4 linked regions of the Oryzias latipes genome follow. The protein of the gene in region 1 interacts with the protein of each later gene in a biochemical or structural test. Links are inferred from orthologs where the notes say so. Each region holds a gene or a part of one and is shown in the gene's direction. Other genes may lie near its edges. The genes, in order: SRSF protein kinase 2, prpf38a, rbm15 and luc7l.

The links.
Region 2: of the proteins of SRSF protein kinase 2 (region 1) and prpf38a, one has a biochemical effect on the other in vitro, tested with the Homo sapiens proteins (2 studies listed by BioGRID and IntAct). The link is inferred for Oryzias latipes from reciprocal best matches to the Homo sapiens genes SRPK2 and PRPF38A.
Region 3: of the proteins of SRSF protein kinase 2 (region 1) and rbm15, one has a biochemical effect on the other in vitro, tested with the Homo sapiens proteins (2 studies listed by BioGRID and IntAct). The link is inferred for Oryzias latipes from reciprocal best matches to the Homo sapiens genes SRPK2 and RBM15.
Region 4: of the proteins of SRSF protein kinase 2 (region 1) and luc7l, one has a biochemical effect on the other in vitro, tested with the Homo sapiens proteins (2 studies listed by BioGRID and IntAct). The link is inferred for Oryzias latipes from reciprocal best matches to the Homo sapiens genes SRPK2 and LUC7L.

What each region holds. Positions count from the first base shown.
Region 1 is NC_019864.2:11,770,352-11,775,460, reverse strand, and holds part of SRSF protein kinase 2, read left to right. Parts: coding exon 1-88; intron 89-733; coding exon 734-841; intron 842-912; coding exon 913-982; intron 983-2,884; coding exon 2,885-2,977; intron 2,978-3,294; coding exon 3,295-3,387; intron 3,388-5,109. UniProt on the Homo sapiens protein: Serine/arginine-rich protein-specific kinase which specifically phosphorylates its substrates at serine residues located in regions rich in arginine/serine dipeptides, known as RS domains and is involved in the phosphorylation of SR splicing factors and the regulation of splicing.
Region 2 is NC_019862.2:23,721,890-23,727,131, reverse strand, and holds part of prpf38a (pre-mRNA-splicing factor 38A), read left to right. Parts: intron 1-284; coding exon 285-406; intron 407-660; coding exon 661-746; intron 747-1,847; coding exon 1,848-1,958; intron 1,959-2,048; coding exon 2,049-2,155; intron 2,156-5,242. UniProt on the Homo sapiens protein: Involved in pre-mRNA splicing as a component of the spliceosome.
Region 3 is NC_019865.2:10,858,595-10,865,043, forward strand, and holds the start of rbm15 (putative RNA-binding protein 15), read left to right. Parts: upstream 1-2,531; 5' UTR 2,532-2,695; coding exon 2,696-5,233; 3' UTR 5,234-6,449. UniProt on the Homo sapiens protein: RNA-binding protein that acts as a key regulator of N6-methyladenosine (m6A) methylation of RNAs, thereby regulating different processes, such as hematopoietic cell homeostasis, alternative splicing of mRNAs and X chromosome inactivation mediated by Xist RNA.
Region 4 is NC_019877.2:9,490,592-9,496,867, reverse strand, and holds the start of luc7l (putative RNA-binding protein Luc7-like 1), read left to right. Parts: upstream 1-2,779; 5' UTR 2,780-2,955; coding exon 2,956-3,016; intron 3,017-4,148; exon of another isoform or gene 4,149-4,219; intron 4,220-4,225; exon of another isoform or gene 4,226-4,957; intron 4,958-5,253; coding exon 5,254-5,348; intron 5,349-5,485; coding exon 5,486-5,584; intron 5,585-5,853; coding exon 5,854-5,964; intron 5,965-6,051; coding exon 6,052-6,195; intron 6,196-6,276. Other genes in the region: protein FAM234A, read right to left, coding at 115-247, 436-560, 1,002-1,184, 1,288-1,398, 1,485-1,740. UniProt on the Homo sapiens protein: May bind to RNA via its Arg/Ser-rich domain.

The sequences.
Region 1 (5,109 bases):
TGCAGACCTCCTGATTAACCCTCTAGACCCCCAAAACGCCGACTCCATCAGAGTCAAAATCGCTGACCTTGGAAATGCCTGCTGGGTGGTAAGACGCAATGTGAAATAATCTGACTGAGTTTGATTCAAACCAGGATTGTTTTAGTGTTATTTAATATACATCTGCTGTTTTTGATAGAGCTGCGGTAACAAGACAATTTCCGCTCTGTGGGATGAATAAAGTTCTATTCTATTCTATTTTATCCTACTCTATCCTAAATCCTTTGCACGGGAGTTCAGAGTTTCTTCAGACTTTTTATGCATAACAGTATAAAAAACAGCTTACAGTCTGCAAACATTTCTAATAAGAAAAAAAAATCCAACACAACCACTACAATTTAGTGGGGGAAAAAAACTAATATTTTTAGGTTGATTTGCTTTGCAGATTTGAGTAAATTTGACTGATGGAAAGAAGGATTTTGCTCAGAGTTAGGTATTTTTTCTCAGTTTCATAGTTGTTTTCTTCACGATCCCTCTAAATGAATTCTAAATAAAGGTGTCCTCTGTATTCACAAATGCTAGAAGCAAATTCATTAAATGTTATAAACAAATTTCCAAGATGTTAAAACTCCCAAACTCAGATCAGCAACGACAACAATCCTGGTCTCAAGTCAGTCACCAGGACAACACGATTTGATCATTATTTCTACCCTAAACTAAAGTCATTTTTCCTCTTGTTTCCTCTCATCAAAAGCATAAACACTTTACTGAGGATATCCAGACGAGGCAGTACCGGTCCATCGAGGTCCTGATTGGAGCGGGCTACAGCACTCCGGCTGACATCTGGAGTACTGCCTGTATGGTGAGGAAGGTTTATTAAGTAAACCGTCCACTGAAAGGAATCGCTGTTTTACTGTTTGCTTGTCTGTTTAGGCCTTTGAGCTGGCCACGGGAGATTACCTGTTTGAGCCTCATTCTGGAGAGGATTACTCCCGTGACGAAGGTGAGGATTTAAATCTTCATGTCCTACATCCTATGGATCCAGATTCATACTGTGATTCCCATGTTTGTGTATGAAAGCAAAGAAGCAGACACATCTGTGCTTTAAATACAGTGGTGGACAAAATTGTTGGTACCCCTCAGTTAAAGACAGAAAGTCCCCAATGCTCACTGAAATGACTTGAAACATTCAAAAGTAACAATAAGTTAAAATGTATTGAAAACTAAATAATCAAAATCAGCCATTACTTTTGAGTTTTTGACTAACAAAATTATTTAAAAAAAAAAAAACTAATGAAATAGGGCTGGACAAAAATGATGGTACCTCCATGAAAGACTGAGAACTAATTGTCCAGGGGGTCATGATGAACTCAGTTATGTCCTTTAATTGACATCACGGCTGTTTTCAAACCCATAATCAGTCAGTCTACCTATTTAAAGGGAGACAAATAGTCACGTTGCTGTTTGGTGAAAAGGTGTGAACCACACTGAACATGGACAACAGAAAGCATGTGGGCTTTCACGTCATTTCAGCATTGTGGACTTTCTGTCTTTAACTGAGGGGTACCAACAAATTTGTCCACCACTGGATGGGAGTTGGATTTTCTCCATTGTTTACATACTCAACCTCTTCTTTGTTTTTTAAACTCTAAGTAAAATAAAAATTACGTTTCCCAATAAAGAATAATTTTTTCATTTAAAGTAAGTCCCGCTCCGATCATCTTTTGATCTATTGTAAAGTTGTCTTCTAATTATGAATATGCTGTTTTTAGCCAAACTTTAAACGGCGCAAAGCAACTCTACCCGCACTTCCCATCATCTATCTAGTTATGTGCACTTCCTCTAGCTTACAGCCCCTCACACGGCCAACCTAACAACACTGGTGAGCAATATTGGAGCCACCCAGATTCCAGCTCAGACGAGGAAAACAAAGACGTACGTGGATCTAGTCTTCCACAAGAAGCGGAGCAGGGAGCTTGTGGCCCACCCAGTGTGTTTTCTATCTCCCAAATATGCTCAGAATTGGTTTTGTCTGCTCCTGATTTCCCAAAATTGAAATAAAGAAATATTAAGAGATACAAATTGAAGCTTTATAAATGTGCTCCATCATGGGAAAAATTCCACAAGAGCATATTCAAAAACTCAATTGATATCAAAGTGGATCTTGAATCTTTTAAATGTCCCCTTTTTGTCATTTGTGATCAAACTTTTGCCCAATTTAATTCGGGTTTGAATTTTATTTTCTAGAAATATTTTCAACCGTGACACCTTTGATTTTTCTAAATGTATTGAACATTGGAGAAAAACTGAAGCACCAAAAGAGGAACATGTTGTAAATGTAATTTAAAAAAACCCTGATAAGTTATCTTAGTCGACCCCCACCCCTTTCCCAACGCCGTTCTATCTGCTGCTGTTGATCCTGACCTTCAATCTGCAGCTGTGCCTCCACTCATCTCCTCACTCAAACCTACAGTTTAGAGATTTTGTGAGCACACAGGAAGTACTGCTTTAGTATAGAATGGATTCTTTGTTTTTGCATGTGCTACTGTTATTTCCTGCATGTTTTTAAAGTAAAGATTTGTCTAGATTCTTAAAAATGACTAGAGAGCTTTTAATCTGTTGCTATAAAATCCCACTGACTGTAATATTTTCTTTCCTCACCTGAGCTGTGGAGGCACAGTTTAACACTTTCACATCTTCACTCTCTGCGACTTTCTCAATTTTTCTCTCTTCTCCCCCCTTCCAACTTTTTGTTGTTGTCCCCCTGACATTTTTATTCTTTTAACACCATTTTTCTATTTCCCCTGTGTGGTTTCTTTCTGGTTTTATTATTCCTCCTCCTCCCTCTCCTCCCTTTGGCACCTTTTTTCCTCCCCTTCTCCGCTCGACCCTCTTTCCTTCGTAGACCACATAGCCCACATCATAGAGCTGCTGGGAAGTATTCCGAGGCACTTTGCTCTCTCTGGAAAATATTCCCGGGAGTTCTTCAACAGAAGAGGTAGCGCTGGCCAGAGAACTGGTGGGACCGGCACACGCACATGCCAAACAGGAGCAGAAATGGACAATGGCGGATTCTTGCAGAATGTTGAGCCAACTTTAGAAAAAGAGATTTTTCTTTGACAAAGTGACCAAAAGCAAAATAAACCAAATCTAAGAAAACGGCTCATCCACAAACTCTCTTTCTGCATGTCCATGCCGTTCCTTGAGGCAGCAGTGTGTGTCCGTACCGTGCAGCCCAGTGTACGTGTGTGTTGATGTGTGTGCATGCTGTAATGCTGAACCGTGCCTGTTCCCTTTGTGACGTATGGTGGGCAGACCACATCGCTCTGATCACGGAGCTCCTCGGGAAGGTCCCGCGCAAAGTGGTCGCTGCCGGGAAGTACAGCCGAGAGTTTTTCTCCAAGAAAGGTAAACGGCTTGCTGGTTGTTGGTTGGTTAGCTGTGGTGGGGGCCTCAACCTGCAGCGCAGGAGCGCCACAAGCCCAGATCAGACCTTTGTCTGGGAAAGTTCCCACACTTTGTTGTTCAGATGAGGAGCTACAGGTAAGTTTGCAATGCTCAGTAAAATGTAGAAAAAATGGTCAAGTCCCACTCTGATCATCTTTGGATCTATTTTCAAAGAGTTCCCAGTGGTCTTTTAGTTCTGAGTTTTCCGTTTTTAGCCATATTTTCTACATATTTGTAGAACTTGCACAATTGGTGACTGACTAAAAGCTTTTTTGTCCCACTGTAGCAAGGCTGATAAGAAACGTTGTTTGATACGTTCAGCTTTAGGCTTGAAGCAGGTTTAAACTAAGCAACTAAGCTTCTCTGGATGTATTCTGCAAAACGAGGTCATGCTTTCTATGGATCTTCAGTCTGAATCATTTCTGTGGAGAACATCAGTGTTAGCATTTCTAGCTGTGCAGCCTGTGTCTGCATCCATTTGGTTCTCAAACCTCCAAAGCTCAACACGAAGAAAGAGTTTTGCTGCTTTTGTTGCACAATGCAATGATGCTTTCAGGTGTTGCTGGGTTTGACTGACTGACTGACTGACTGACTGACTGACTGACTGACTGACTGACTGACTGACTGACTGAACTTAAAAATGAAAAACGGTCATCTAGCTGCAAGTGTGGAAGTCTTTCTAGCGTTAGCATTGATAGCAGCCCTAAAACACTTAAAGCACTTGTCATTTTAATTCCACTCATGCGTTATTAGAACATGTTATTGAACTTTTCCTTCTCATCTTCACTGGACAAATACTTTATGCTGGAAGGTTTTGAGGTGAAGACAGAAAGAATGTAATGGTTACAAACACCAAATAAGCTTATCATGACTAAAAGCCTGTTTTAAAACTTTTCCGCTCTGTCTGAGGCTACAGTTTGAAGTTGGAGTCCCACTTTTGGAATCCATTCCCAGTCGTCTTTAAACTATGATTATGGCTCTTTTAGCCAAAAAAAAAAGCAGCAGTAACTCCTTAGAAATTTGCCTCATAGTTGTGGGCGGAGCTGTAGGTGCAGAATAAGCCTGCCTCCCTTTCCCATCATCCATTGTTTTACACTGCTAGTCTGCAAGTCCTCACAACTCCAAGCTAACATTACAGGTGCAACAAAAATGGCGAGCACTATTGGTTCTGTCTCGCCGTACAGTGTCTTTAAATAATATGTGGAAATCCCTTCTGTTTGGGCCGGGTGAGGTATGAACCCGATAGAGCTGATGACCGCTGCACTCTCCTTTCTGCTAGTTTACTCTTTACAATGAGATGGGAAGATCCGGCCTTTGATGTCTCTATCCGAGGTCTGAGTCCACACTTCGTGTCTCCGTGTTCTGCCTTTTATCTGGTTTTGCTGCGTTAATCTAGACCCGCTTTCCGGGTCTGTCTCTGGGGTCTCTGCTGTCTTGCTCAAAGGCGCTCGGCAGGATTCTACTGGAGTCAAATCTCTGTTTCATCCCCCATCATGTGCAAAAGAAAGGGGTTACCACGGCAACCACATTTTTAAACTGGACTTCTTAAGAGTCTGAGTCTGTCGTATAAATGAAATGACAAAAACATAAAAGTGAATTTGAAGTCCCACTCTGATTGATCTATTGTAAAGCGTTCCTATTGGCCTTTTAATTAAAATTGTGCCGTTTTTAGCTAAAATTATA
Region 2 (5,242 bases), on another chromosome or scaffold:
AAGCTTCTTAAAAGGGACAAAGACCATAAAAGATGAGCCTAGATGCAAATTAAAAAATATGGAATACAAAGAGATAAACAAAGCAAATAAACATGGAATAAAATTAACAGTAAAATACCTTGTTTCCTCTAATTCTCACTTTTAATGAAAAATTTTGTGCTGTAATGTGTCTTTTTCAAACCCCTGAAGATATGGTAACAGATGAAAATGACCAGAGACCAAAAAAATTCTTTCTAGCTTTTTTTCCGATTTTTTTCATAACCGTTTGGTGTCACGTCTGTCAGATATGTCCGTCTTCTTGGAGCCATGTACATGCGGTTGACCGGCACCGCCGTGGACTGCTACAAATACCTGGAACCGCTGTACAATGACTACAGAAAGATTAAGACCCAGAACAGAAATGGAGGTAAGACACAGAAGATTAGAATCTTTCTCATCTTTATTCATTTTTTGGCTTGCATACAGAAAAAGATCAGGTTTCCAACATGGAAGCTCCCTTGCTGCTCCTCCCACATGCTTTTGGACTCACACTGAGCTTTCATGCATCTTCCTCCTTTGAGCGGACTCTGACATGTGGATCCAGACCTGGACAAGGAGTGACACATGTAAGCCTTCATGAAGCTCTGTTAGGTTGATGGATTTTTCTGGTTTTTGATGCAGAGTTTGAGCTGATGCACGTCGACGAGTTCATAGATGAACTTCTTCACGCAGAGAGAGTGTGTGACATCATCCTTCCTCGACTTCAGGTGGGTAACTTCCCAGAAGCCCCCTTTGACTCATAATTGGTTGTACAGTAATGTACAACTATCAGTTGTAGATTTAGAATGTCATACTTGTTTTATCTTTTAAATAGTGCATTTTAAATTTGTAATCTTTAAAAGAAAAAAACTGTCAGTTATACATTTTATTGAAGCTACTGGACCAGTTTTTTTTGGGGGGGGTGTCTATATTTTCCGAAAGCTCTGTAGTCTGTCTCAAATTTATGTTTTAGTTCATGGGGAAAGCATTGGATAGAAATGAAATTAGGGCAAATAGTTTTTCTACACAGTTACCGAGAAATGTGTCTGAAAGAGGAATTTTTTTGTGTTTTTATATTTACTTTAATCGGTTTCAAATCATATTCGTAACCATTTGGATTTTGTTTTTCATTAAAAGGCTTACACCATTCAAAATCAGGTTTTTGAGCTTTTAAGTGTATTGTAATGTTTATTTCTCACTATAAACCCCAAAGCGGTGTTTTGATCCGTTTACGCATTTCTGGGTATTCCTCTAAAAATCTGCATTCTGAGCACCGGCGCCTCCTAACCCACGAAAACGAGCGGGTCCTCACATTGTGACATCATTAAGTGGAGAACAGTCGAAGGGGCAGGAAGAGTCTGCACTGCCAGCACCGCCCCCAGGCTAACACACAAACAATAAATTAAAAGATAAAATAATCAAACATTGATTAAAAATAAACATCAATGCTACTTGCACCTCACGCTTCCCAGCCTGATTTCTCTCTATTAAAATGCGAGCACTAACCTTTGAAATGTGTTTCCTTTATTATTTTGTAATAAATTATTTTGTTGTCATCATTTTTGTGGTTCATTGCAATACATCGTGTCCCCGTTTGTAATTCTTTGCGGACTTTGGACCTCGTCGTTTCTTCACCAAACAAGTGAAGACTCAATGTGTAGTAATGGCGCTTGTGTGTCATGCCGTATGTCCCGTGACGGCCAATCCAGTAACAAATAACAATGAACAAAGATGTAACAACAGTTTTGTCTTTGAGAATTTTTGAGTAAAAACAAACAAGTGACCCCTTTCCTCCATAAAGTCATCGTATCCTTTCCTGTGTGTCACAGAGGAGGCAGGTCCTGGAGGAGGCAGAGATGCTGGACCCTCGGGTCAGCGCTTTGGAGGAAGACCTGGATGAAGTGGAAAGCAGTGAGGAAGAAGATGAGGAGGACGAAAAGGTAACGGCCTTTGATGATGTGTTGATCTCTTGGTTTGGCCGAATATCATTGCAGGAGTTATAACTCCGTGTTTGCTTTCCGTGCCCACAGCCAGAGCGACTGCACTCCCCCGAACCTCACAGGCGGAGTTACCGTGACAACGACAGACCTCGCCGCTCACCGTCGCCACGTTACAGACGCAGCCGCTCACCCAGACGGTGGGTGTTGTCTCAGATCTTATGTCGTTCATGTACAGTGCTCAGCATAAATGAGGACACCCCACTACATTTGTCCGAAAACCTTCAGTGTTCTTTTGGAATTAACATTTTTCTACACAGGTGGACCATTGATTGCAAACCAGATATTTTAAGTTGCACACAAAAACGTGTGTTTTTGTTTTTTGACCTAACAAATTAGGTCACGCCCACGTTGTAAAAAGGAGTACACCCCAGTCAGAGTCTTAGGAGAAAAGCCAAACTTAAGACTACAGAATTCTAATTATCAGGCATTCAACCACAAGTGAGTCTACTGATTCATTTAAGACGTGTACAGCACAGAGGTGGCTAGAAAAGAGCATTTAACCAAAGAAAAGCCTGTCCTTTCTCAGATATTGTGACATTTCTTTTCCATGGGTAGCTATCGGAGACAGCATGAAATGGGAAGGGCTTTTTGGATCGTAATCTAAAAATTTAAGAAAGATGGAAGTGCAACCATCTTACAGAGACGTCCAGGCCGTCAACAGAAGCTAACATCTGAACAGGAGCGTCTTCTGATGAGAAAGGTTGAAGAAAATCGCCACTGTAGTTCACTGCAGTTAGCTAAAGCAGTAGAACGCCAAACTGGAGTGACCGTTTCCCGTGACACCATCCGGCGCACGCTGCAGAGGAATGGCACGCATGGTTATTGTCCACGAAAGAAGCCTTTCCCAAAGCCCGTGCACAAAAAAGCACGTCTAGAATTAGCTAAAAAAGATAAAGGCCTCAATACTCTGAAGTGATGAGACAAAGATCCCCCTTTTTGGAACTAATGGTTTTAAAACTATGGTGTTGCTGAAGTGAGAATTTCAAAGAAAAATGCATGGTGCCTACAGTGAAACATGGTGGTGGCAGTGTGCTGATGTGGGGCTGCTGGTGTCGGGGAGCTGCATTTCATTGATGGCATCATGAACTCAACAATGTACTGCTCTATACTAAAGGAGAAGATGCTGCCATCACTTTATGCACTTGGTCAAGGAGCACTTTTCCAACACAACAATGATCCAAAACACACTCCTGAAGCTACTGCTGCATTTCGGAAGAACAGGGTGAAGGTGATTGGATGGCCAACAGTGTTAGAAATAAGGGGGAAAAAATGGTTGTCCGAGGCAAGTAAACTTGGTTGTCCTCCCCAATTTTTGGTTTTCCTTCGATACCAATGAATTCAACAGCAACTAAACCTACTCAGATGTCAGTACTTACATCTTTATTTCTTCTATACATCTAATATTAACTGCCTCTTATGATGGACATTTAAAAAACTCTTTAAAATTAAAAACAAACATTTTACTAAATACTGAAGCATCTGGTTACACAAAGTATTGCCAAAAACTTGAAACCAATATCTTTATAACTAGTATCTTTACACAGATTTAAATATATTGGTTATTTTTTTCTTTGGTTTTTGATAATTGTTCCTTAAAGAATATAAAATACCAAAACTGTTGTAAAAAATTTAGAATATTATATCAATCCCATGGAAAAAGTTTTTTTTTCCAGCTCATGTCAGTCTGTTCTGTTATGAGTGAAAGTTATAGTGTTTATGAATGTGTTTTAAATCTTTTTGCGTGTTTTTGGAGACCTCTAGCGGTCGCGCCAGGTACTGTTGTTCAACACTTCTATTTGAAAAATCTTTATTGAAAAGTGCACATGTAGAAACAGAAAGGATTCGTTAGCATGATGCATGCACTTCGTTTGTCGGTGGAAAGAATTAGCTGCATACGTCTCAATTCAGAGGTTACCAAAAACTAACCCGTGAAACTTGAAAAATAGTCGAAAAATACCAAAATGTTGAATAAAAGACCAGGTTGTCACACGGACAACCATCAGGTTCATTTTGGTTGTCCTCCTTGAAATCTGGTTGTCTCGGACAACCGGTTTTGAACGCTGGTCAAGGATGTCTCCTGATCTGAACCCAAGTAAGGAATTCTGAAGAACAAGTTGAGCATCACTCTCCATCCAGCATCCAGGCTGTAAAAGAGGTTCTTCTTGAAGAATGGAAAAAGATACACGTTGAAATATGTCACCAAGTTGTTCATGAAATACCTAGAACAGTGTTTTTCAACCAGTGTGCTGCGGCACACTAGTGTGCCGTGGAAGATGGTCAAGTGTGCCGTGGGAAATTCCCCTCATTAACTGATCTAAAAACATTTCCCATCTCCAGGATTTCAGCTCTCTGTTCATCCAAACAGGCCCTGATAAAACTCTGAGGAGTTAATAATATAAAAGATCGTAAAATACTTTTTCTTTGCGTTTATTTTATTTTATTAAAGACATATTGATAAGAATGACGGTACAGTACCGCGATTCAGCTGCAGCTTCGGCTGTATTTTGGAAAAGTCCCGCCCCTTTAACTGTCTCCACCAATCATTCTTGGGGGGCTTAATCACATGTCATCAGTCTGACCAATCAGAAGTGGTTAAAGTCTTCACTTCCTTGTCCCGATTTAGCTCGTAAAGTCGCTCAGTTCTAACAAAAATACCAGCTAAAGCTCGTCTTTAGCGGTGTAGCTTTCCACAGAATCTGGTATCAGACCGTGGAACAAGTGAACAAAACAATGAGGCTCAGAGACGCGATCTCCAGCCGTTTTATGCACTACATCTCCCATGATGCATTGGGTTGTGAGAGTGACAGCGCACAAGGAGATCTGTTGTTAAACGTCTTGAAACCAACGAACACACATCAAACTGTTTTTAAATCTTCTAACTTAACTTTTATTGCATCTTTTAGAAAAAAAACAGCTGCAGTTTCCAGCTTTTTCTGCAACAATTATCTCAAAAATGCATGTGAGATTGTGGAGGGGCTGTAGATCAATACAGACTATGAGTTTCATCTTGTTTTTTTTAATTTTTGGATGCTGGTGTGCCGCGGGATTTTTTTTAAGGTTAAAGTGTGCCGTGGCTCAGAAAAGGTTGAAAAAAATCTGACCTAGAAGACTTGGTGCTGTCCTTAAAAATCATGGTGGTCATACAAAATACTAGATGGAGTAGATTTTGTTGCAGGGTGTATTCATTTTTTGCTTCAACGAATTTAAGTTAAAGTGAAAATGAT
Region 3 (6,449 bases), on another chromosome or scaffold:
AAGAATATCAGACTCGAGAGATTGTCATCTTTAGTAAAGCTGGAGAAATGGCACATAATGGGTTTGTGTTTGGTTTTTGTGTCTTTTTTTTGGTCTTTGTACAGATATGAAAAAATGATCAAACTCAGCGAGATAGTACTAACCAACATGAAATCATGGCATACCTATGAGCTGAACAGCTATTAGTTTTAATCAAACTCTTGTGAAAGTTACTGTTTTTCCACAAGCTTTTATATGTCTTCATTTACTAACATAATCAATAACAGGTCAGCTTGAAGCAGTATGTAGTAAACACAGTTATCTATCAAATTCACTAAAAGCATCATATCATTAAAACAATTTAAAATAGGTTACTTTACCGTGTACAGCAATAATTTTTATGGATGTTTACAGACCTTTGTTCACATTGGAACTGTTTAAGCGTCACATCTTGTACAACAAAAAAAAAAAAACCTTCAAAAGATGATTTAGCCATTAACTGTTTAAGAGAACTGGACCAAGCGAGTGTGACATCACCCATAGAGTGTGGCTTATACTTCCAGTTCCAAAGACCTTCGTCAATTCAGTCTGCAGTTCTTAACATCGCCGTGTTGGAACCAGAAATCGTTAATGAGCAGTAATCAGTCAGAGTCGGCCTGAGATAGCATTTTTATGGCAACCACTCTCCCCAATCAGGAGTGAGCTTGTTGGACGTCCACTCCTCTACCACTTGAAAGTGTGCTCTGGAGAATCAGTCAATCTAACTCTTGTTGTTTGACCACATGCTTTTATTGAGGCATCTGCTTGGTCAGTTTATAACTTGAATAAGTTGCACTTCCTGCGCTGCCAGGATGAATGCTTCAGTGCTGTCCTGTAGGCCAGGCCTTTCTAGCCATTGGTAGGACTTCTTGACATAAGCCACTTCCTTAATGGTCCAATGGGACATCCCATGTAGGGGCTTGTCCTCCCATGAGGATCTGTCCTATAGCACCGCATCCTCTGCTCCCCATTGCCTGAGACTTTCACAGAGCACACTGTCAATTGGGGCCTTGAGCTTGATGTATTCATGCATCTTGGATTTTTCATCCTGGATAGTGGTTTCCACGCTCAACAGTCCTCGGCTAACGGACATGGTGACCAGTACATTTACCAGCTTGTCTTGAAAAAAGTGTGCTTGATCAAACAAGGCTTGGGGTAAATTTGACTTCCTATTTTTCCTTCAGACCTTTTGACCACTTCCATCTTGTGGTACATTAAAGAACACCTGTCTTCCGTTAAAAGCAAATTCGAATGATGCCTGATACACTTTACACCTCAAATTCAGAACACACACACATACATACAGTAAAACAAAATGAAAAATGAATAAAAATTTTAAATCATACTTCCAGTTTCACTACTTTCTGGACACTTGCAAAGAGGCTTCCGATTTAGAAAATAAATCATATGGAACATGTCCATGTGTTTTTGTTTGTATCTTTTAATATTCAGTTAATATGTTGATATTTGGGTCATTCCAGAACTGGAGGACATTTGGGCTGCAAAATTCATGAAGAGCAAACTTTGACTTTTCTAATTCTCTGCTATATAATCGTCAATAAAAGGTAATATCTGTCAAAGGCTTGATTAACTTTGCTTACAGATCAACTGCGAAATATTTATGACATTATATTGATGATGACAAGACTTGATGCAACCTTGTTATCAATTTTTGCAAGTAACAGGGTTGCAAACATGTATTAATATTGACTTTCTCTCAGGAGTAGACGCTAGTTGTTTAGCTGTCACTGAGTACCAATAAGAAAATTAATGTGATTTCAATGGCATGCCTTTTTGCATTTCTGACCACCCCAGAATGAATGGTGATATCTTGTTTTTCTCAGTTGCTACTTTACATGCTAATTTGATTGCTTACTTACTCATAAAAAAGCAACAACAATAACAATAATTGTCTTACTCTGATTATAGGGAAACAGGGTTGCATGAGGCGGAGTGAGACATTCAATCTAGGATAACTATGTGTTAAAAATAAAAGATCCACGTAACTTTTGCTCTACCCATTCTTTTTGAATACTGTTTGATGATGTCAAGTCCAGCATATCACTCTTTGCTATATTCTAACCCTCTTACCTGTTATGGTAAAAGGAATTGTGTGGATTCGGTGGGAAACACATTGTATTGATCATAAATAATATTTGAAATACTTCTTTTATTTAAAAAAATCCCACGGTTACATAAAACACCAATCAAAACAAGATATACCAAAAACTGAATCTAAAATTTAATTTTAACTGCTTTTATTGAAGATTTAATTTGGACAATGGGGGACGGGACAAGAAAAAATGCATTTTAGGGGGTACATTGAGCTTATTTGGCATTTTTTAAATTATTTTCAGTAATTATTTTCACTTAGTTTTGCATGTGGATTATTTAAAATAGGTTTATTCTGAAATGACCCATTTTTTAATCCATCGCTGTGTGCGTGATTGACGGGATTTTAAAAGGTTTTAACCAATCGCCGCCCCCCAAACACCGGCCAATCAGCGCATGGAGGCGGGTCTTCTCACAAATCTTAACAAAATGGCGACTGTTGTTGTTTTGCCGCAGGGTCGGTAAATAAATTCTTTGAACGTATTGGATATTTTCTACATTATTTTGTGGAAGGAGTGCAGGAAAAAGCCAGTTACCACAAAGAGTTTACTCTTCGTGGGCTGCAATGAAAGGAAAGGAGCGGTCGCCGATTAAAAAACGGTCCCGGGCCTTGGACGACATTCGAGAGAGGGGAGGATGCCACCCGACCAGCAAGAAAATGGGGGCTCTCTCCGTTTCCAGTGGGAGTAATAATGGAAACAGTTCGTCCAAAAGCGACAGCGGCTCAACGAGACGGAGCTTGTTGGGTGAGAAAAGGGACAGAGATTTTGAGGGCCATAGTCGGACTGGAAATAATCACAGCTGTCAGTCTGCTGCTTCCAGCTCCGTGGGTAAAAACCACAACCTGAGCCTGTCGCTAGACCTAGCCTCCCCGCGAGCCTCTTCGCGCGCGGAGCAGCGTGTTCCGCCGCCCAGCACCGAGAGTGAGTACAAAACACTCAAAATCAGCGACCTTGGGAATCAGCTGAGCGAGGAGGATATAGAAGATGGGCTTTTTCATGAATTCAAAAAGTTTGGCGACGTGAGCGTCAAAATTAGTCGCAGCAACGACGAACGGATTGCTTTCGTTAACTTCAGGAAGCCGGAGGACGCCAGGGCTGCTAAACACGCCAGAGGCCGGCTCGTGCTCTACGACCGGCCGCTGAAGATCGAGGCCGTTTACACGAGCAGGAGGAGAAGCCGCTCCCCCGTGGAGAGGGACTTGTACAGCGCAGCACAAAGTCACAGACACTTGCAGAGACCCCTGTCGCCCACCGGCCTGGGTTACAGAGACTACCGGCTGCAGCAGCTGGCTTTGGGACGGCTCCCTCCTCCCCCTCCGCCCCCTCTGCCCAGAGAACTGGACCGGGACAGAGAGTTCGCCCTGTTTGAAGCCAGGGCACGTCCAGCTTTCCTTGCAGAGCGAGCAGCTTTTCGTGAAGAGGATTTAATATCTCCGGAAGACGACCAAAGAGCAAACAGGACTTTGTTTTTAGGCAACTTGGACATAAACATTGCAGAAGCAGACCTCAGGCGGGCTTTCGACAGGTTTGGAGTCATAACAGAGGTGGACATCAAGAGACCATCACGAGGACAGACCAGCACATATGGATTTCTTAAGTTTGAGAACCTTGACATGGCTCATCGTGCTAAGCTTAGCATGTCTGGAAAAATAGTGGGTCGCAACCCTATAAAAATCGGTTACGGAAAAGCAACACCCACGACCCGTTTGTGGGTCGGTGGACTTGGACCGTGGGTTCCTTTAGCTGCCCTGGCCAGAGAATTTGATCGCTTTGGCACTATAAGGACCATTGACTACAGAAAAGGTGACACTTGGGCCTACATCCAGTATGAAAGTTTAGATGCTGCTCAAGCAGCATGGACACACATGAGAGGCTTTCCGCTGGGAGGCCCAGAGAGAAGACTTCGGGTGGATTTCGCAGACACTGAGCACCGGTACCAGCAGCAGTTCTTGCAGCCTCTCCCTATTCCACCGTTTGACATGGTGGCTGACTCGTTTGTCCACCGCGCCACGCCTGAACCTCTGAGAGTCAGAGATCGGACTCCACCTCCACTTCACTTCAGGGACAGAGAACTCTTTCCAGCAACGGAGTGGCCCAACCCGGCCATTCGTGAGCGGGTCCGGGGATCCCCCTTTGAGCCTCTGGAACATTTGGAACGCGACCGGAGAACTCGAGAGCCTTGGTCTTTGGAGCGTGAGCTGCAAGGGCGAGAACCAGGACGTAAGAGACGCTTATTGGAGGATGGCCGTCACCTAGATCACTCTCCTGACAGCACTGAGAGGACAGTGAGACGTAGACGTTCTTCTCCAGATGGCAGTCCTGGGGGCAGCAGCAGAGACGGAGGACGTTTCAGTGACTCTGAGCATCCTGTGCACAGTGAAACGGCCTCACCAGCCAGAGAACATGTCATTAGCCTTGAAAGAGGTGGGGCGGATCGAAGGGTTAAAAGCCAGAGTCTTTCTGAGAAAGGACTCTCATCTGCTGGTGAGCGGAAACGCAAAGCGGGCGACAGTGGCAAAGTGCCTGCCAAGAGAGAACGCTCTGAAAGCAGCTCTAAAGGAGCCCAGCAATCCAAACCTGATGGCACCAAACTCATTGTGGCATGGCGCGGAATGCTGCTCCTGAAGAACAGCAACTTTCCAGCCAGCATGCATCTCCTAGAAGGTGACTACGGCGTCGCCAGCGACCTGCTCATCGACGGCTCAACCGGAAGGCAGGTGAGCGAGCTAAAGATCACGCAGCGTCTCCGTCTGGACCAGCCAAAGCTTGATGAGGTGTCTCGGCGCATCAAAGTCGCCGGTCCAGGCGGCTACGCCATCCTGTTGGCAGTTCCTGGAAGCACAGAGGACTCCTCTTCATCTGATCCTATGGCCTCAACCCAGCGGCCCCTTCGCAACCTGGTGTCCTACCTCAACCAAAAACAAGCAGCTGGGGTCATCAGTCTGCCTGTGGGAGGGAGCAGAGATAAAGACAACACAGGGGTTCTTCATGCTTTCCCCCCCTGTGATTTCTCTCAGCAATTCCTGGATTCCTCTGCAAAAGCTCTGGCAAAAAGCGAAGAAGACTATCTGGTCATGATTGTGGTTCGTGGAGCATCTTAAAAAAAAAAAAAGAGAAAAAGTCACAATGCACTATGTTCAAGTGGAATATAAGAAAAAACAAGTCTGCTGTTTGTCAGTAATTATTGCATGCTGTGTTCTGCATTGTGGGGTACACTAGTATGGTTCTTGAGTGTTTGTAAGGTGCCATGTAATTCACTAAAAAGACATATGGTGCCCTGCAACCAAACTAAAAGGTTCATCTTAAAAATATCAAGTGAGTATTTGAATTTGATCAGTCACAAATGCTTCATTACAAATTGATGATTTGGGGATTTATTAGTTAAAATTCAGATGTTCTGCAAGAATGAAAAACCTCAGAGTATTTACACAATAACTCGGTGATAAAAGAAGCCCAACATATAAAAATGACTTTATTTAATTTTTGCTTTTAGATCATTTTTTTTCTGATCCACTATGTTGCATTACCTCAGCCTGTGCTGATGGTGTTATTGTTGGTATTCTGAAAAAAACAGCAAACCCCCCCTTACCTTCACCTAAAGTGCAGTGAATTGTCAGCTCTTTCTGCTTTGAGTAAATTGTGAACTCAAGATACTTGAGGAAATGGAAATAAATGGTTCTATTAACTGTTATAGAATGGCAGTAACAAATATTTTTGTTGTAAAGGGAGAACAGATATTCCAATAAGGTTAAAACACATCACACAACTCTTCAATGGAACTACATCCGATAACTTAGCCGTGTTCTTTAGTTAAAATAACACCATTTCCGTTAAAAGTTTCAAAGAAAAAATGAGTTGTGCTCTGTGTTTGACCTCGGTTCCACAGTAGTTAATTGAAGGTCACCATTTGGTTAGAGTCCATGTATTTCAGCTGCAGTTTTGTGAACTTTTGCTGGGGGAGGGGTCAGGTTTTATTGAATCAAGTTCCTGAAATTTTTTGTTTTTTTTTTGCCGAAATGTAGCATAACTTGGGGATGCTAATATCTGTGTGTGGATAGCTGAACACTAACGTTTAAGCGGTGTTCCTGCCCAGGGAACAGCCCATAATATGCAAAACGAATGAATGCAAATACTTACATTGCAATTTTAGAATTTTATTCGTTTTAAAGCTTTTTTTTTAATTTAGTGCCCCCTTTTTTCCTCCACACATGGATGCTTGCAGAGTGAATAAGTTAAAGTACAGTTGAGCAGAAAAGCTGGAAGGTTTGGTGATTTGTGACAGTCCAAGACATTTACTTCCTGTAGACCCACAACAAT
Region 4 (6,276 bases), on another chromosome or scaffold:
TACAAACCATCATGACCTTCCTCTAAAGTCTCAACAGTTTTACATAACAATAAAAACTGATATTTCATAACAAAGTTTAAGATGATTTTGTCCATATTTTCCTTAAATACCAACCTTTTTGTAACAGTATGTAATAAGAACCGTCTTTTGTGCGATGGAGAACGTGGCTGACCGTGTCAGTAAAATTAAGAACCACGGTGGAACCCATCTGGACCCCCGTCTTTCCTGAGAGGAGAACCAGCTGAGTCTGCAAACCAGAAGGGGAGATATGAAGGTTAATGGAGTCATTTTCTCTCAGCATTAGTAAATATCATCTTTGTCACTAACCATTTAGACATTTTATTACTAATAGAGCAGCAACAAATTGAAAAATAATGTGTTTGAAGATTCAAAAAGTGTGAGTGATAAATTGAACGACACATTTTTTCCATTTACCTGAGTGCTGTTAGAGGCCACTAGAAGCACATCACTGACTTTGTCCCCATCAAGATCTGGGACAGTGAGAAAAGGCAAGGAGCTCTGCAGACCTGTTGGCTGCGGCTGCTGCCAAATGACTTTACCTAACAAAATTAAAGGTTAGTAGATTCAGTTTTAGTGTCACTTTTATGGGAGTTTGTGTTTACCTAACTTTTATTTTTTTTTCAGTTAATAAAGTATTAAATCAACAGAACAGAATTAATAATTATCTTGGAAAAGTGTTTCCGAGGGATATAGGACATTCCAAACAAGTAGGAATCCACAGTTTTATCAGGGTATTTGCTTTTTATTTCCCATTTACTTATAACTCTGGATGTGTAGAGTCTTTAGAAGTAAGCTTTCTTTCTTTTTTGTCATGCAAACGTCTATATACTTGTAAAATTGTCAAAGAATGGGGGGGGGGGGGGGGGAAGCAAAAACACTTTTGTAATAACTTACCTACGGTATTCTTTCATTTATAAATGTACTATTTATATCTAAATATCAACTTTACAAAAGTAACAGGTGCTCGGTAAGTCACTGACCGGTGTATTTGTCGATGGCTGTAAGGTTGTGTGAGTGAGACAGGAGGCAGTGCCAGCTTTTCTCTGCTTCTTTCTGCTGACCACACTGGGCCCAGTAGAACTCAGCTTCCAGCGGCGTCTCCCACAGCGTCTCTCCCTTTGTGCCGTCCACCCCGATAAAAAACAGACATGGCGAGCGTAGTCCTGTAAAACAAGATTTAAATAAGATTATGTCATATTAGGAGCAATTTTGATTACAAGAGCATCTTTTTTTTTGTTGAATTGAAGCTGGATTTGATGTTTTTACCTGCATCTGCACATGAGTTGTTCTTTGAACCTTCTGTGTTTTTGAGGACAAACAGAATATCCACCACATGATCACTGCTTGCATGTTCAATAGCCAGGAAGTCATAGGTTGCTGGGGTATAAAACAAGAAAACTGCAGTTGGAAACAAACTCTTCTTCAATATTAAGATAGAAAAAACAAACAAACATCTGATGCACCTGCGTCAGAGAAAGTCCTGTTCCAGGTTTTGAGGTATTGGGCTCTTACGGGACAGGGGAGGATGAAGGAGAAGGCAAACACGATGGTGAGGCAAAGGAACAGTGACAGGAAAAAGATTGCTGTTCTCCAGTGGGTCCGTTTGGGGACATCAACGTATTTGATAGAATCCCTCTGCTCCGATGCCGGTGGTGCCGTTTCTGCTCCATCTTCTGTCCTGAGAGGATCACCCTCGGTGGCACGCTCTGTCGATGCCATCTGTGCCTCAACGCATTACCAGCTAACAAACCGGCAAAAGTATCATGAATGTCAGAAAAGAAGAAAGCAAGACCACATCCTCACATTGTGGTGGCTCGTTTTAGCATCTGTGTGGAATTGAAATTCAGTCTCTATCTATGAGCAGAGCCAGACTAAACTCGATGACAGTTATAAATTGGGGGACAAAGAAAATGAAAAAAAAAGAAAAAAGAGCCAGTCACTCAGTGTTTGCTTAGTCGAGTTGCTTCTACCTCGTCAACCTTTGTGGACTAGTGTCTCTATGCAGTTGTGCCAACACCAGAGCATTCTCCTGATAAAATCTAAAAATGCAGGAAGAAAAACACCAGCTTTGAAATGAAATTACGCAGCCTGTTCATATTTGTTATGACCGCAGGGTAAGCCGTAAAAAATTACAAACAGACCTAGGAACCTTGGCGAATATGTTTACATTTTAACTTAGAAATTTATCTAAAAAAACGTTGTTTTTGTTTGGGGGCCATGATCCGTTTTGGTTGGTTTCATGGCTAATGTTGGTTGGCCAATTTGTTGATCAGAAACAACCAGAATCATTTTCAAACATTTTTCCTTAAAGATAAAGTTTAAAACTTATATTTAAAAATATATATTTTAAAAGGTAAAGCAGTTTTCTTACTAAAAATCGTTCACAGTCGTTCCTTTCGTCTGTTGCGGGTTATTGGGGACAAGAAGCTAGCATCAGGACGAACAGTGCAATAGCTTTGTTTGTGTATTAACCCAGGATTTGTCTGTCAGGTTCGCCTACATTTGTAGATTTAAAACATACAAAACGTTTAAATCATCGGCTACAAAGATGAATAAAATATAAATAAAAACACGTATACGTACTGCATTGGGGGAGCCTATAAGTAAACGAGCTTGCTTGAAATGTATTTAGCCTGTCAGTCAAACTTTAGAGAGAAAAACTAAAACAATTTTATTGGTGTGCTTTGATTGGTTGAGTTACTTTTTCCAAGAATCACTGCGATTGGTTGAAAACTGATGTCAGAAGGACTGCCAGTTGCTGTCGTCATTTCCCCAAAACAAAACGGAAACTGACGAGCTCGCGATATAGGGGAAATCTGTTCTGGGTAATGGTTGGATGAATAATTTGTTCGACTAACCCTGCGTATAATCCAAGGAACCGTTCTCGGGTTATTGACTTGAAATAAAAAGGTTGTTGAAGGAACACCCTCGATAATGTCTGCCCAAGCTCAAATGAGAGCTCTGCTCGACCAACTCATGGGAACAGCGAGGGATGGTGAGTTGCCGTAGCATGCTAACGGAGCTAGCTAGCCAAGATGGAGTCTCTGCTGAGGCTGGCTTGTGTTGGCGTGTGATGGACAGACCTGCATGAATGAGTGTGCCACAGAGGGCTGCTTGTAACAGGAGACCGTTATTTTGAGGCAGAAAAAAATAAAAAGAATACAAGATTTTGATGTTACTTGTTGTGGCTTTTTTTACATCTCGATGAGTTTACCTCTACTCTTTGTTATCTTAGCGATACAGCTCGTTAGCTAATACTTGCGTAACGTTTATTGTGAAGCAACTCAATCATTGGACACCATGGTGTTAAGACCTGGACTGAGTTCAGTTTCCTACCTGATCATAGCTTTGGCAAATTGTATGTGTATATATATATATATATATATATATATATATATATATATATATATATATATATATATATATATATATATATATATATATATATATATATATATATATATATATATATATATGACTTAACTTAGCTTAACTTGTGACGTTACAATTTCTTCGAAATGGCGTGCGACATTAGAGGTTTTATATAAGTATAGAGTAATGTTAAATATGTTTGTATTCGTCAGTTAAGGTCTACCCTCCATGAATATATAAAAAAAAACAACTATATATTATTTTTCTGTAGTATTATTGTGCTACTACTGTCTCTTTAATGTATTAGCTTAGTGTAGTAGCACACTTACTACTGATATAAAAACATAGCTTTGTTAAATACTTTATTTTGTGCTACATGACATAATTTGACCAACATTACTGTCAAGAAACGCATTAGTGACATTTCTGTAATCCAGATATTGTCAATAAATTGCATTGAGGGAATTTTGTTTTCCTAAGACTACTAAGGAATTTATGGGATGATCAGTTGATAAATGTAAGGTGGTGAATTATCTCCCACTCCATTGTTAAAAATTGAGATTTAAGTTAAAAATTGAGATTTAAGTTGGAAAAACATTTGCAGCTCCATAAATCAACTCAAAACAACTTTTAAAAAAGTGAACTTGTGTTGTGAGTTTGTTGTTGTATGCCTGATGAGATTGATACAAATTTCTTCCCATACATTTGTTGCATACAAATTGAACAATTGTGGCCCCTTTATTTTATTCATTAAGGTTCAGTGTATCATTGCCAGCCTACATCAATCTGCAAAGGAGTTGCAGAAAAGCCTCATGTTCATCGAGCCGTGAGTCACACATGATTTTTAAAGATGTTATGAATAATATCCAAACAAATTGTTTGCCTTCCGGAATTTATTGTAGCTTTTCCTTTTATTTTAACACAAGTTGGTAACTCCTCAGTGGCACACAAATGCATAACAAGGTAATTGTTGTGTGGGACCAGATTTACAATTTGCAATAGTGCAACACAGCTTGAACTAAAACGTTTGTGCGCGTTGTATCAAAAAGAAAAAACTTTCAATTTACCTCACACTTTGCAGTCCATTACACGTCTATATTTCAGACGACAGTGTAATGCTTTCCACACTAAAAAGGTTACATTATTTACAGTCTGTTTTTTGTATGACTCCCAACTTCTTATCACAGGTATTGGCAAGAAAACTGTTCCCATTTATACTTTTCTACAGCGGGTTTTAATTCTGCAGCTGGGGTCTTGAAGATGCAGAAGGGTACAGTATGTGGTGCAGATCACAGTGTGTATAACTTTTTTGTTTTCCCATTCGATTTATGTTGAACTTTTTTTTTTTTTTTTTTTTGTAAAGTGACAAATTTAAATGAAATATTCATGAGAGAAGTGTAGGTCTTTTGTATTACCAATTTTGAAGAAGTGACATTTACTTATCACTTTTTTGCACTTGTTTATTGCTTTTTGGTGTTCCACAGTATAGAGTGGACAGTGAGCCAACAATACAAGTTTAAATGACTTGAGGCTGTTGCATAACAAAGTCATAATTGAGGTGAAGGTAAGCATGTAGAAATCCCAAGTTCAAAAATAAAAAAATAAAACAACAGAAAAAGCTTTAAAAAAACTTTTTTTAGTGATGCTGATAACATTTATTATGAATTTTTAAAACTTTACAGTAACAAGACTCATATTTTTATTTATTTTTTCCCCATCACAGTCTATTTTTCCCATCAAACTCTACAAAAACAAACATTTGCCAAATGGATGCACTTAAAACAAAGGATATCTAACCACTGATCTCATATGTGTGAGGTGGCTCTAATGTTTGGGTTTTTTGTTTTTGTACTGTTACAGGAGATGAAACACGGCAGAGGGTCAAGTTTACCGATGAGCGGGTGTGCAAAAGTCATCTTCTCAACTGCTGTCCACATGACATTCTGTCAGGAACTGTAAGGAGCCTCTATATTCTTTAAACTTTGTGACAAACGTCTTTGAATACATAAACATATTTGACATACTTTATAAATACATCATAGTATATTTATAATGATGAAAATAATGATCTTGTTTGCTATGTCTTTGTTAGCGTATGGACCTGGGGGAATGTACAAAGATCCATGACTTGGCACTTCGGGCGGACTATGAAATAGCCTCCAAAGAGAGAGATCTTTTCTTTGAGCTTGATGTAAGTGAAGCAATATGAGCAAGTCTTTTTTTTTTTTTTTCATTCTAAGAAAACTGTTGTTAAAGTCCCCCTATGACAATTGTTTTCTTTAATATAAATGTTCCCAGTGGTGTTTTGATTATAAAATTAATTCATTCATTCATTCATCTTCTTAACCGCTTTGTCCCTTTCGGGGTCACTGGGCTGCTGGAGCCTATCCCAGCCACTGTTTCGTTCTTAAGATCATGTTTTCTCAAACAAGACTTATTCTTTTTTTATTGGACGTAAAGGCAGTGGATCATCTGGAGTCATTCATTGCTGACTGTGACCGAAGAACTGAGCTCGCAAAGAAGCGCCTGGCTGAAACTCAGGAAGAGATCAGTGCTGAGGTGGCAGCAAAGGTAACGATTTACAGTCCTGTTTTCTTATTTCGTGTTTTGCCATCACACAATAGCTATTTCAGGCTGTGTGGTTTTACTTTCTTTTAGGCAGAGAAAGTGCATGAGCTGAATGAAGAAATAGGGAAGCTTCTGGCCAAGGCTGAGCAACTTGGAGCGGAAGGCAACGTGGATGAAGCTCAGAAGGTTCTGCAGGAAGTGGAAAAGGTCCGCACCAAGAAAAAGGATGCAGAGGTTAGTAAGGAGCGCTGGCCAAATGAAACCTCATACATGAATTGAGCAAACCTTTCCTTTACTAATACTTTAATTCATCCA